Linked DNA regions of Oryzias latipes. The protein of the gene in region 1 interacts with the protein of each later gene in a pairwise test. Links are inferred from orthologs where the notes say so. Each region holds a gene or a part of one and is shown on either strand. Other genes may lie near its edges.

Evidence for each region. The genes of interacting proteins can lie anywhere in the genome.
Region 2: the proteins of psmf1 (region 1) and fbxo7 interact in binary tests that used the Homo sapiens proteins (3 or more experiments, as listed by UniProt). The link is inferred for Oryzias latipes from reciprocal best matches to the Homo sapiens genes PSMF1 and FBXO7.

What each region holds. Positions count from the first base shown.
Region 1 is NC_019863.2:32,759,915-32,765,822, reverse strand, and holds the end of psmf1 (proteasome inhibitor PI31 subunit), read right to left. Parts: intron 5,231-5,908; coding exon 5,148-5,230; intron 4,981-5,147; coding exon 4,792-4,980; intron 4,459-4,791; coding exon 4,402-4,458; intron 2,594-4,401; coding exon 2,432-2,593; intron 2,107-2,431; coding exon 2,055-2,106; 3' UTR 1,715-2,054; downstream 1-1,714. UniProt on the Homo sapiens protein: Plays an important role in control of proteasome function. Inhibits the hydrolysis of protein and peptide substrates by the 20S proteasome. Also inhibits the activation of the proteasome by the proteasome regulatory proteins PA700 and PA28.
Region 2 is NC_019881.2:23,757,805-23,763,097, reverse strand, and holds the end of fbxo7 (F-box only protein 7), read right to left. Parts: intron 5,252-5,293; coding exon 5,075-5,251; intron 4,812-5,074; coding exon 4,771-4,811; intron 2,340-4,770; coding exon 2,052-2,339; 3' UTR 1,894-2,051; downstream 1-1,893. UniProt on the Homo sapiens protein: Substrate recognition component of a SCF (SKP1-CUL1-F-box protein) E3 ubiquitin-protein ligase complex which mediates the ubiquitination and subsequent proteasomal degradation of target proteins and plays a role in several biological processes such as cell cycle, cell proliferation, or maintenance of chromosome stability.

The sequences.
Region 1 (5,908 bases):
GCTGCTGCAGCTCCAGCTGCTGCTGCTGCTGCTGCCACTGCTGCTGCTGCAGCTGCAGCTGCAGCTGCTGCTGCTGCCGCTGCTGCAGCTGATGCTGCCACTGCTGCTGCTGCTGCAGCTGATGCTGCTGCTGCTGCTGCTGCTGTTGTTCTGCTGCTGCTGCTGCTGCTGCTGCAGCTGATGCTGCTGCTGTTGTTCTGCTGCTGCTGCTGCAGCTGCTGCTGCTGCTGCAGCAGCAGTGGCAGCAGCAGCAGCAGCTGCAGCTGCAGCAGCAGAACAAACAGCAAAAGGCCTGACGACGGTCATCAATGCACAAACCCCTGCAGAAAGAGCTGCAGCCGACATCCCCCATCCAACCCTCTGCATCATCATCTCAGTTGTCATGGAAACGTCATCACTGCTTTTCTGTCCGTCTGCAGGGTCAGAAGGTGAACCCATGAACGCTGGAAGGTGATTAATGTAGCTTCTCTGTTGGCATGGCAACCAGATCTGAACATTGACATCATACTTCACCGTTCAGAACTAAAAGACCTTTTTTTCAAAGTACCATTCTTGTGTAATAGTTGAATGGTTTTGTGTAACCCTTGTGCTATCTTATGACCCCCCCCCCCCCCTTCCATTGAGGTGTTCTCCCTACCATGACAAAGGTGGATAAAGGTGGAAAGATTTCATGTAATCCATGGACACCAGTGAAGATCACAAATCATTGAAGAAAAAAGGTTCAGAGCACTGTCTAGTGGGTCTAGATGACCCAACTCCCAACGTTAAAGTGCCTAGGATAGCACAAGGGTTAAATGAAGAGAAAGACAGAAAAGTCTCTGACTTCATGGTTCATTTTCAATTCTGTTTTTTCCCTTTCGGGGTCACGGGGCTGCTGGAGCCTATCCTGGCCACTTGTGGGTGAAGGCAGGGGACGCCCTGGACTGGTCGCCAGTCTGTCACGGGTTAGAATATCCTCAATCACACATCCATTCACTCTCACACTCACACCTAGGGACAATTTAGATTAACCTATGAAGCATGTTTTTGGACGGTGGGAGGAAGCCGGAGACCCTGGAGAAAACCCACACATGCACGGGGAGAACATGCAAACTCCACACAGAAAGGACCCCCATTGGTGTTCTGTTCCAGGTCCCCCAGCCGGGACTTGAACTGGGGGCCTTCTTGCTGCGAGGCAAGAGCGCTAACCACTGCACCACCGTGCAGCCTGGACTTCATGATGACGTCTGTCAACGTCTGCAGGATGTCAGACTGAGCAGAAAGATTCACAGGTAAACCACTAAACCTCTCAAATTAGGATTTTATGAATCTGCATCTCTGTGGGACGGCAGCAGAAGGTCCGGGAGCAGAAACCGAACCGGTTCCAGGAGCAGAACCGAACCGGTTCCAGGAGCAGAACCGAACCGGTTCCGGGAACAGAAGGTCCGGGACCAGAAAAGAGGAATCAGATGAAGAATAAAATTCAGGATGTTGTTCTGGACTTTGTCCGTCTGAAACTGGACCGTCGGAACCGAAAAGCTGTTTTTTTTACAGAATGTAACCCTTCATGTCTGAAATCTGCTGCTAAATTTGATTGTCTTTTTTCATCACCGTTCGTGTTTTACTTGATCAGAAAAAGAGAATCTTCAGAGATTTTTGTTCTGAGTGTCAAACCTCTGTGACCCACAACGACCCGCTTCTACAGAACCGGCCCAAGCAGAAAGCAGCACAGAGAAATGATTCAAACATTTATTCCATCAACAGGATTCACAGTTTTTTAAACTAACTTTATTTCTGGTGTTCCTGAATGAGCCACAAAATGATCAGGAACCTGAAATCGGAGCGAGAGTCCGACCCGAAGCTCAGAACTCAAACTCCGTCCGGTTTTCTGGGCCGTCTGCTCCAAACACCGAGACAAGCAGAAGGATTTCCTTCTGGAATCGTCTCCTCCGACCCAAAACAAACTCGCTTATCTCAACCAGAACCTGCAGCCTCAAACTTCACGTCCTGAAAGCTGAGAGCAAAGTGAGCGGGTCAGAACCGAGTCAGGGTTTCAGAACCACCCACGTTCAGCTCTACATGAACATGTCATCGTAGCCGGGGGGGGGCATGTGGTCCGGATCCGGCCTAGGAAGCAAAAACACAAACAGGTTTCAGGTTTTTGGTTTCTGCTGCAGCTTAGGTCATCAAAAGAGAACCAGAACCGCCCAGAACACGACCAGAACCCAACGCAGCGCTTTGTCTGTTTGTTTTAGGACTCTGTGCTGCAGCGGATCAAACTTTTCCAAGAGATTTTCTTCTCTTAAAGTCATTTTAGGAGAAAATCTCTAAAAAAACCCAATTCTCTGAAATCAGAACCAAATTCTTCAGAATCCGCACAGACGTGTGTCTCTCTGGGTTTTGGCTGCAACAACCATCATCACATGCAGGAGAACACGAGTGCTGCCTTCACCCTGGTCTGTGCCGCCCGATGGGTCCAAACGGGTCGAAGCGAGCTCCCGGTGGCACGGCTCCGGGGGGCAGAATGTCCGGGATGCCGCTGGAGGGGTCGAAGCCGGAGCGGGGGAACCCCGACCTCAGGGGGTCCACGATCATCCCGCCCCCACCTCGAGATCTGAGGACGAGTCAGGAGGACAAAGGACACGATGAACGTTTCTGCAGGAGCAGAACCAGAGCAGAACCAGAGGGGTTCTGCACACAGGAACGTTGACTGGAACACGACCTTCAGAGGTTCTGACACGAGACTGCAAACGGGTCAATCCTCTCTGAGGAGGTTCTCCTCAGGAAAAGGAGGCTCCAGCGGAACCGAAAGCCAGGAAGTCACAGAGCTACTCCTCCAGCTTCACGTGGACTAACAGAACCCAACAGAACCCCACTGAACCCTCCAGAACCTCACAGATCCCCATGAACCCTACAGAACCCTACAGAACCCCCTGAACCCTCCAGAACCTCACAGATCCCCCTGAACCCCACAGAACCCCACTGAACCCACCAGAACCTCACAGTGGACTAATAAAACCCAACAGAACCCCACAGAACCCTCCAGAACCCCACTGAACCCTACAAAACCCCACAGAACCCTACAGAACCCCACTGAACCCTACAGAACCTCACAGATCCCCATGAACCCTACAGAACCCCAAAGAACCCTCCAGAACCTCACAGATCCCCCTGAACCCCACAGAACCCCACTGAACCCTCCAGAACCTCACAGTGGACTAATAAAACCCAACAGAACCCCACTGAACCCTCCAGAACCTCACAGTGGACTAATAAAACCCAACAGAACCCCATAGAACCCTCCAGAACCTCACAGATCCCCCTGAACCCCACAGAACCCCACTGAACCCACCAGAACCTCACAGTGGACTAATAAAACCCAACAGAACCCCACAGAACCCTCCAGAACCTCACAGATCCCCCTGAACCCCACAGAACCCCACTGAACCCACCAGAACCTCACAGTGGACTAATAAAACCCAACAGAACCCCACAGAACCCTACAGAACCCCACTGAACCCACCAGAACCTCACAGATCCCCCTGAACCCCACAGAACCCCACTGAACCCACCAGAACCTCACAGTGGACTAATAAAACCCAACAGAACCCCAAAGAACCCTACAGAACCCCACTGAACCCACCAGAACCTCACAGATCCCCCTGAACCCCACAGAACCCCACTGAACCCACCAGAACCTCACAGTGGACTAATAAAACCCAACAGAACCCCACAGAACCCTCCAAAACCCCACTGAACCCACCAGAACCTCACAGTGGACTAATAAAACCCAACAGAACCCCACAGAACCCCACAGAACCCCACTGAACCCACCAGAACCTCACAGTGGACTAATAAAACCCAACAGAACCCCACAGAACCCTACAAAACCCCACTGAACCCACCAGAACCTCACAGTGGACTAATAAAACCCAACAGAACCCCACAGAACCCTCCAAAACCCCACTGAACCCTACAAAACCACACAGAACCCTTCAGAACCCCACTGAACCCTACAGAACCTCACAGATCCCCATGAACCCTACTGAACCCCAAAGAACCCTACAGAACCCCACAGTGGACTAATAAAACCCCACAGTGCTCTAGTAAAACCCAACAGAACCCTACAGAACCGACTCAAAGAAAAAACAACAATAAGGCTTTCAACACAAATTCCAGATGTAATCCTCTCAGGAGTTTAGAAAGACGGTAAAGAAAAGGAGGAAAATGTCAAAGTGAGGCGTCATGTGACCATCGAATGCTGACTCAGCAGATTCTGTTCAGAGATTCAGCGTTCGAGGTCAAAGCTGTGAGTCCGCGAGGCCGGAGGCTGATAATCCGTCATCCCAAATCCTTGGATTAGGACAACGCTGGCTGAAACTCACAAACATCTGGAAGTTTTAGAGGAGGAGACACACCCACCCGAACGGATCCAGATCTGCTCCCCCAGTGGCAAAAGGCGGAACTGCAGGCTCACGCCTGAAAAACAAAGCGTTCATCAAATGATGAAGAATCACCTCACCTTCATCAGGAGCAGCACAGCATCCGTGATGACTGTTTCCTTCCTGACAGAATAAACCTTTCAAAATAAAAGCTCATCTTTAGATAGACTTGTTTCTGCTTTTATCCTTTAAAGTTCAGACGGATCTAACAACTCATTCAGTTCTGTGAGAAAATAACAGGAATTTATTCCTGATTTTTACTTTAACGTCATTTCTTTTAACTTTCAGAATATAGAAATATTCTAGAAAGAGAGAATAAAGACTTCTTTATCCCATCGCTGTGATCAAATCAATGCCAGAATTTCCCAACCATGGATGCTGCGTTCCCGGACCAGGACGTCTGCTGGGAATGCGTAGAGGGTCGTCCTCCTCTCTCCTCCTCCTTCCTCCTGCTTCGTCCTCATCCTCCCGCAAACTCCTCCTCCCTGCTTTCTTCTCCTGGGGGGGCAGCAGCTGAGCCCTCACCTTCTCTGACAAACCGTCTCCATTTATGAAAACCCTTCAGAATAAAAGCCTTCAGTCAATCATTTCATCCAGATTCAGGGTTGCTACCTCTGCACCCGCAGCTCTTATGGTCTGCCCTCCTCACCTGTGACTCTGTGACCCTGAGGGACTGAAAACAGGAAGAACTGCTGATTCCTGTGGGGGACGTTTTTTTACACCGACCTGTCAAACGTGTCCAGATGGTCGGCGTCCACGTGATCCTTCATGTTCACGGTCAGGTCGGTCACCTGCTGCGTGCTGCAGTTCTTCAGACACACAGAAAGCAGACGCCGTCACACCGCCGTTACCTTCAGCTGGAATCTGACGTCAGCATTTCTGAACGACGATTGTTCAGAGTTTCTGTGACGTTCGTGACGCGTGGACTCATGTTCAATACAACACGAGTCCACATGTCTGCAGGACGTGAACGGAACAGAAAAATAACATGCCACCATAATAAAGATTGAAGAAACAGACAGAGGGCTGTACCGACTCACTGCACAACTACACATAATATATTCACCAGGTTTCTGCTTCAGAAATATTTATTGTTTTCCTGTTTCTCTTTATTCTAGTATCTTCAGCCATGTTTTGCAGCTTATCTTCTACAGTTACTCATCTATTTCAACCATCCATCTATTCAAATGTTCGGCTCTTTCAGCTTTTTCCAGCTGTGACTTTTGGTCCTTCAAATCCTTGAACTTTTCCAGATATTCCAGGATTTCTGCCTCCATTTAAATAAATGGGGAATCCTTGGTGCAGAAGCTCGCTGGTTTGATACCCGGCTCTGGCATTTTTCACAAACATTTTTGTTATTGTGCTGTTTTCACTTTATTTATGGTCAACTTTGATCATTTCTTTATTTTTTGCCCGTTATTCCCCTTTAAGTTTCATTTTCATTCAGCAGTACAGCATTTAACCGGCATTTTCTTCTAGAAATGCAG
Region 2 (5,293 bases), on another chromosome or scaffold:
GGTTCTGGTTCGGTTTGGACCGAGCAATGAGTAAAGCCTTAATTAATTTGTGAATTCGGAACCAAAGCTAGCATTAGCCGAGCATCCTGGACAGACGGCGGCGCGTGCGGGATTCCGGCTCGGCCTGGTGCGTGTTTACCGCTGCGGGGTCACGTGCTGCCTAAAAAAAAAAAAGAGACCCATTTCCAGGGGATGACGCCGGTGCGCGCACGCGGACTTCGGCCGTTCGGACTGCACCGCCCCACAGGCCGAGCGTGCCTGATCAACGAACGTACCCCCTCCCCCCGTTTTAGACAAAAGATGACGTCATTTTATTTACGAGGACGCCCCGCGCCGGGTGATGACCTGGGGGGTATTCCAGGAAGCAAGATTAAACTAGCCTGACTTTGAGCCTGAACTCTGGCTGAAATCCGCCTGAACTTGCTTACTCTGGGTATGTCGGTTCCAAAAGACCGGATATGATTTGGCGTAATTACGCTCGACTTGGTAACCCTGGGTTAATGCTCGTGCACGGAAGGTACATAAAGACATTCTCAATAGATCGCCGATTTCTGGAGTCACCATGGAAACGCGTGGAGAAAAAAAAAAGAAAGCGCGACACTTGAGACGGAAGTGAGACGGAGTCTGAGATTTTAATGACGGCGGTTAAAAATTATAAGTCCATCAAAAAAGTAACACGGCTGAAAGATAATTTAGTTAAATTAATTCAAACTCAATAATTGTTTATACAACTCAAATCTACGTATTTATCTAACTAAATGTCACATTACTCCATTAATCTTTTTTCCATCTTAATTACTTATATTTCTTGAACTTTCATATGTCTAAGTTTGAGCCGGCAGATATTCTCATTTGTATAACAATAAAAAGAACGGAAAGACAATGCACCGAGTGCAAAAACTCACTAAAGAATTTTCCGTCACTGTCATAACAGCACTAAGCGGTAGGGGTGCTATATAAACTCATCATCCTCTCCCTCCCTCTCACTCATGGTGCAGAGACGTAAGCATAGTAGGACAAAATAGCTCGGCTAAACACGGTGAAACACAGTAAAACAGCTATACAACTAAACACATTTAGTAAAAAACCCACACTTAAACCCAAATCCGTCCAGACAGGCAAAGGGAATGGTATCCCACAATCCCTTGCGGTGCCGATCTAACAGCAGCATCAAAGTTACACCTACTTAATTGAATTAATTTGAACGAAAGGAAAATAACTGTCTGAAAACTACGTGTTATTTTTAACAAAAAAATTTCTAACAAAAAAAATGATTTATCTTAACTGAAGCAAATAATTAAGTTAGATCAAAGTAATAAGTTTCTCTTTCCAACATCCATACGTGGTCTTATCACCCTCTCACGGTGGAAAAAGTATTATCTGAGCTTCTTCATCCACTAAATCATCTTCAAATGGACACGCCATGCTGCTTCTCCTCTCTGAAAACAAACTAACCTTCAACTAAACCTGCTCCAGACCAGGTTATGTTCAGAGCATGCGTTGCTATGGCAACTTGACCCACCCTGAAACATACCTCCATTTCTGGAACCGAAAGCCGAGGTTATCAACTTCCTTAGCCTCAAACTTATCGTGGGAGCTAGCATAATCTGCTTTCTGGAATACCCCCCGGAAGCCAAAGTTTCTTCTGCCGTTTTTGACAGTAAAGACTGAATACAGCAGTTTAGTGACGGAATCAGGAGCAGAACCCGCTGGTTCTGAAGGAAGTTCCTGTACGTTTGAGACCAGATGGACGGAGCCTTCTCCGTCACTCAGGTGTTGGTGTGTCACGTGGTTTTGTCAGGGCGACCACAGCTCGCTCTGACCCAGAAACCCGCGTTAGTCTTTCAGGCTAAAACACTGTGGTGCATTCAGGGACACACAGGAACAGTCAGATTGTTTCACACTGGTCTTCAGCTGTTTATAAAAAAAACCAAAATAATAATAAATCAAGCTTTCCAGCACAGTGTCATTTCTTCTTTGGATCACGGGGCTCTCACATGGAGGCCACACCCCCCACGTGTGGTCATGGCGTTCCTTCCAGGATTCAATGTTCAGATGAAACCCCGCCGGATGTCGGCTGCCTTGCCCCCAAATGATCTGAACCGGGGTAGCGGTCGACCAAGGGGGTCTGAAAGGGGCCCAATGGGGTCGTGTCGGGGGCGGGGCAGGAGGCCGTGCGGGAGATTGGGTCTTTGGTCATAATCCCCCCCAATAATGCCTGGCACAGGGGGGAAGGGGCGGGGCAAAGGATGAAAGATGTGATGGCCAATAGGAGGGGTCATCAGTCGGGTGGCGCTGCGGCGGCTTTCAGAGCGAAAGACAAACATCGTTTTGTAGAGCTGAAAGGAAACATGGCAACAGGTGAGACAGGCTGTTTGCAGACTGTTTACAGGCTGGTTGCAGGCTGATTGCAGAATGTTTACAGGCTGTTTGCAGGCTGATTGCAGACTGTTTACAGGCTGTTTAAAGGCTGATTGCAGACTGTTTACAGGCTGGTTGCAGGCTGATTGCAGAATGTTTACAGGCTGTTTGCAGGCTGATTGCAGACTGTTTACAGGCTGTTTAAAGGCTGATTGCAGACTGTTTACAGGCTGTTTGCAGGCTGATTGCAGAATGTTTGCAGGCTGATTGCAGACTGTTTGCAGGCTGATTGCAGAATGTTTACAGACTGTTTACAGGCTGGTTGCAGACTGTTTGCAGACTGTTTACAGGCTGTTTACAGGCTGTTTGCAGGCTGATTGCAGACTGTTTGCAGGCTGGTTGCAGGCTGATTGCAGACTGTTTGCAAACTGTTTGCAGGCTGATTGCAGAATGTTTGCAGGCTGATTGCAGAATGTTTACAGACTGTTTACAGGCTGGTTGCAGACTGTTTGCAGACTGTTTACAGGCTGTTTACAGGCTGGTTGCAGGCTGATTGCAGACTGTTTGCAAACTGTTTGCAGGCTGATTGCAGAATGTTTGCAAACTGTTTACAGGCTGTTTGCAGGCTGATTGCAGAATGTTTGCAGGCTGATTGGAGACTGTTTACAGGCTGTTTACAGACTGTTTGCAGGCTGATTACAGGCTGTTTGCAGAATGTTTACAGGCTGATTGCAGACTGTTTGCAAACTGTTTACAGACTGTTTGCAGACTGTTTACAGGCTGTTTACAGACTGTTTGCAGGCTGATTGCAGAATGTTTACAGACTGTTTGCAGGCTGTTTACAGACTGTTTGCAGGCTGTTTACAGGCTGTTTGCAGACTGTTTACAGGCTGTTTGCAGGCTGATTGCAGGCTGTTTGCAGAATGTTTGCAGACTGTTTGCTGGCTGTTTACAGACTTTTTGCAGACTGTTTACAGGCTGTTTGCAGGCTGATTGCAGACTGTTTGCAGACTGTTTGCAGACTGTTAACAGACTGTTTGCAGACTGTTTGCAGACTGTTTGCAGACTGTTTACAGGCTGATTGCAGGCTGATTGCAGGCTGTTTGCAGGCTGATTGCAGAATGTTTACAGACTGTTTGCAGGCTGTTTGCAGACTGTTTACAGACTGTTTGCAGGCTGTTTACAGACTGTTTGCAGGCTGATTGCAGACTGTCTGCAGGCTGATTGCAGACTGTTTGCAGAATGTTTGCAGGCTGTTTGCAGGCTGTTTGCAGACTGTTTACAGACTGTTTGCAGGCTGTTTACAGACTGTTTGCAGGCTGATTGCAGACTGTCTGCAGGCTGATTGCAGAATGTTTACAGACTGTTTGCAGGCTGTTTGCAGACTGTTTACAGACTGTTTACAGACTGTTTGCAGGCTGTTTACAGACTGTTTGCAGGCTGATTGCAGACTGTCTGCAGGCTGATTGCAGGCTGTTTACAGACTGTTTCCAGGCTGTTTACAGACTGTTTGCAGGCTGATTGCAGACTGTCTGCAGGCTGATTGCAGGCTGTTTGCAGAATGTTTGCAGACTGTTTACAGGCTGATTGCAGACTGTTTGCAGACTGTTTGCAGACTGTTTGCAGGCTGTTTGCAGACTGTTTACAGACTGTTTGCAGGCTGTTTACAGACTGTTTACAGGCTTTTTGCAGACTGTTTGCAGGCTGTTTGCAGACTGTTTACAGACTGTTTGCAGGCTGTTTGCAGGCTGTTTACAGACTGTTTGCAGGCTGATTGCAGACTGTCTGCAGGCTGATTGCAGGCTGTTTACAGACTGTTTGCAGGCTGATTGCAGAATGTTTACAGACTGTTTGCAGGCTGTTTGCAGACTGTTTACAGACTGTTTACAGACTGTTTGCAGGCTGTTTACAGACTGTTTGCAGGCTGATTGCAGACTGTCTGCAGGCTGATTGCAGGCTGTTTACAGACTGTTTCCAGGCTGTTTACAGACTGTTTGCAGGCTGATTGCAGACTGTCTGCAGGCTGATTGCAGGCTGTTTGCAGAATGTTTGCAGACTGTTTACAGGCTGATTGCAGACTGTTTGCAGACTGTTTGCAGACTGTTTGCAGGCTGTTTGCAGGCTGTTTGCAGACTGTTTGCAGGCTGTTTGCAGACTGTTTACAGACTGTTTGCAGGCTGTTTGCAGAATGTTTACAGACTGTTTGCAGGCTGTTTACAGGCTGATTCATTCATGAATTAAGCCCACCTTCCTTCTGTTCATGTTCTGGTTTGTCCTCTAAGCTTCACACATATTAGTTAGATTTTCTAATTAAAAGCCTCCTTTGACTGAAATCAAAGCCGTGGAGGACCCATCACTGTGGGTCCCCACACATCTCACACCCGTGTGACAGTTTCACTCCCTCCTCACCTCCTTCCAGTCCGAGTCATTTGATCTGTTTCCACCAGAACCTGAAGCACAAACATGACATCATTGAGGTCCAAATGTTTCAGACTGAAAACGCGGTTCCTTCACATTCAACAGAAACTGAAGAATAATCTGCTGACGTCTTTAGATCAGACTAGTAGCTTCATTTATTCTCTACATGTGTGTAAAAACACAGAAATGTCTGTTTTCCTGGTGAATCCTGGTCCGCAGCTGGTCTCTGGCTGAAGAACGTGCAGCTTCTCTGATTCTGAAGTTTAAAAAAACGTGGCGGAGAAGCAGCTCTAACCTGGGAAATCACGGCGGTACAGGTGTCTCCACAGCGAGGAGTCTGCTGCTGCGGCGTTCAGAAGTCGACAGACGGCGGACAGCCTGAGAAGCGAGCGCACGTCCAGCAGGCGGAGCACCCTGAGGAGAAGCTCTGGAGGGAGGGCCTGCAGGCCGAACGCCCAGGGCAGAGCCATGGCTGCAACGGAAAGAAAACGCTTTCTGCTCCACTCTGATTCAC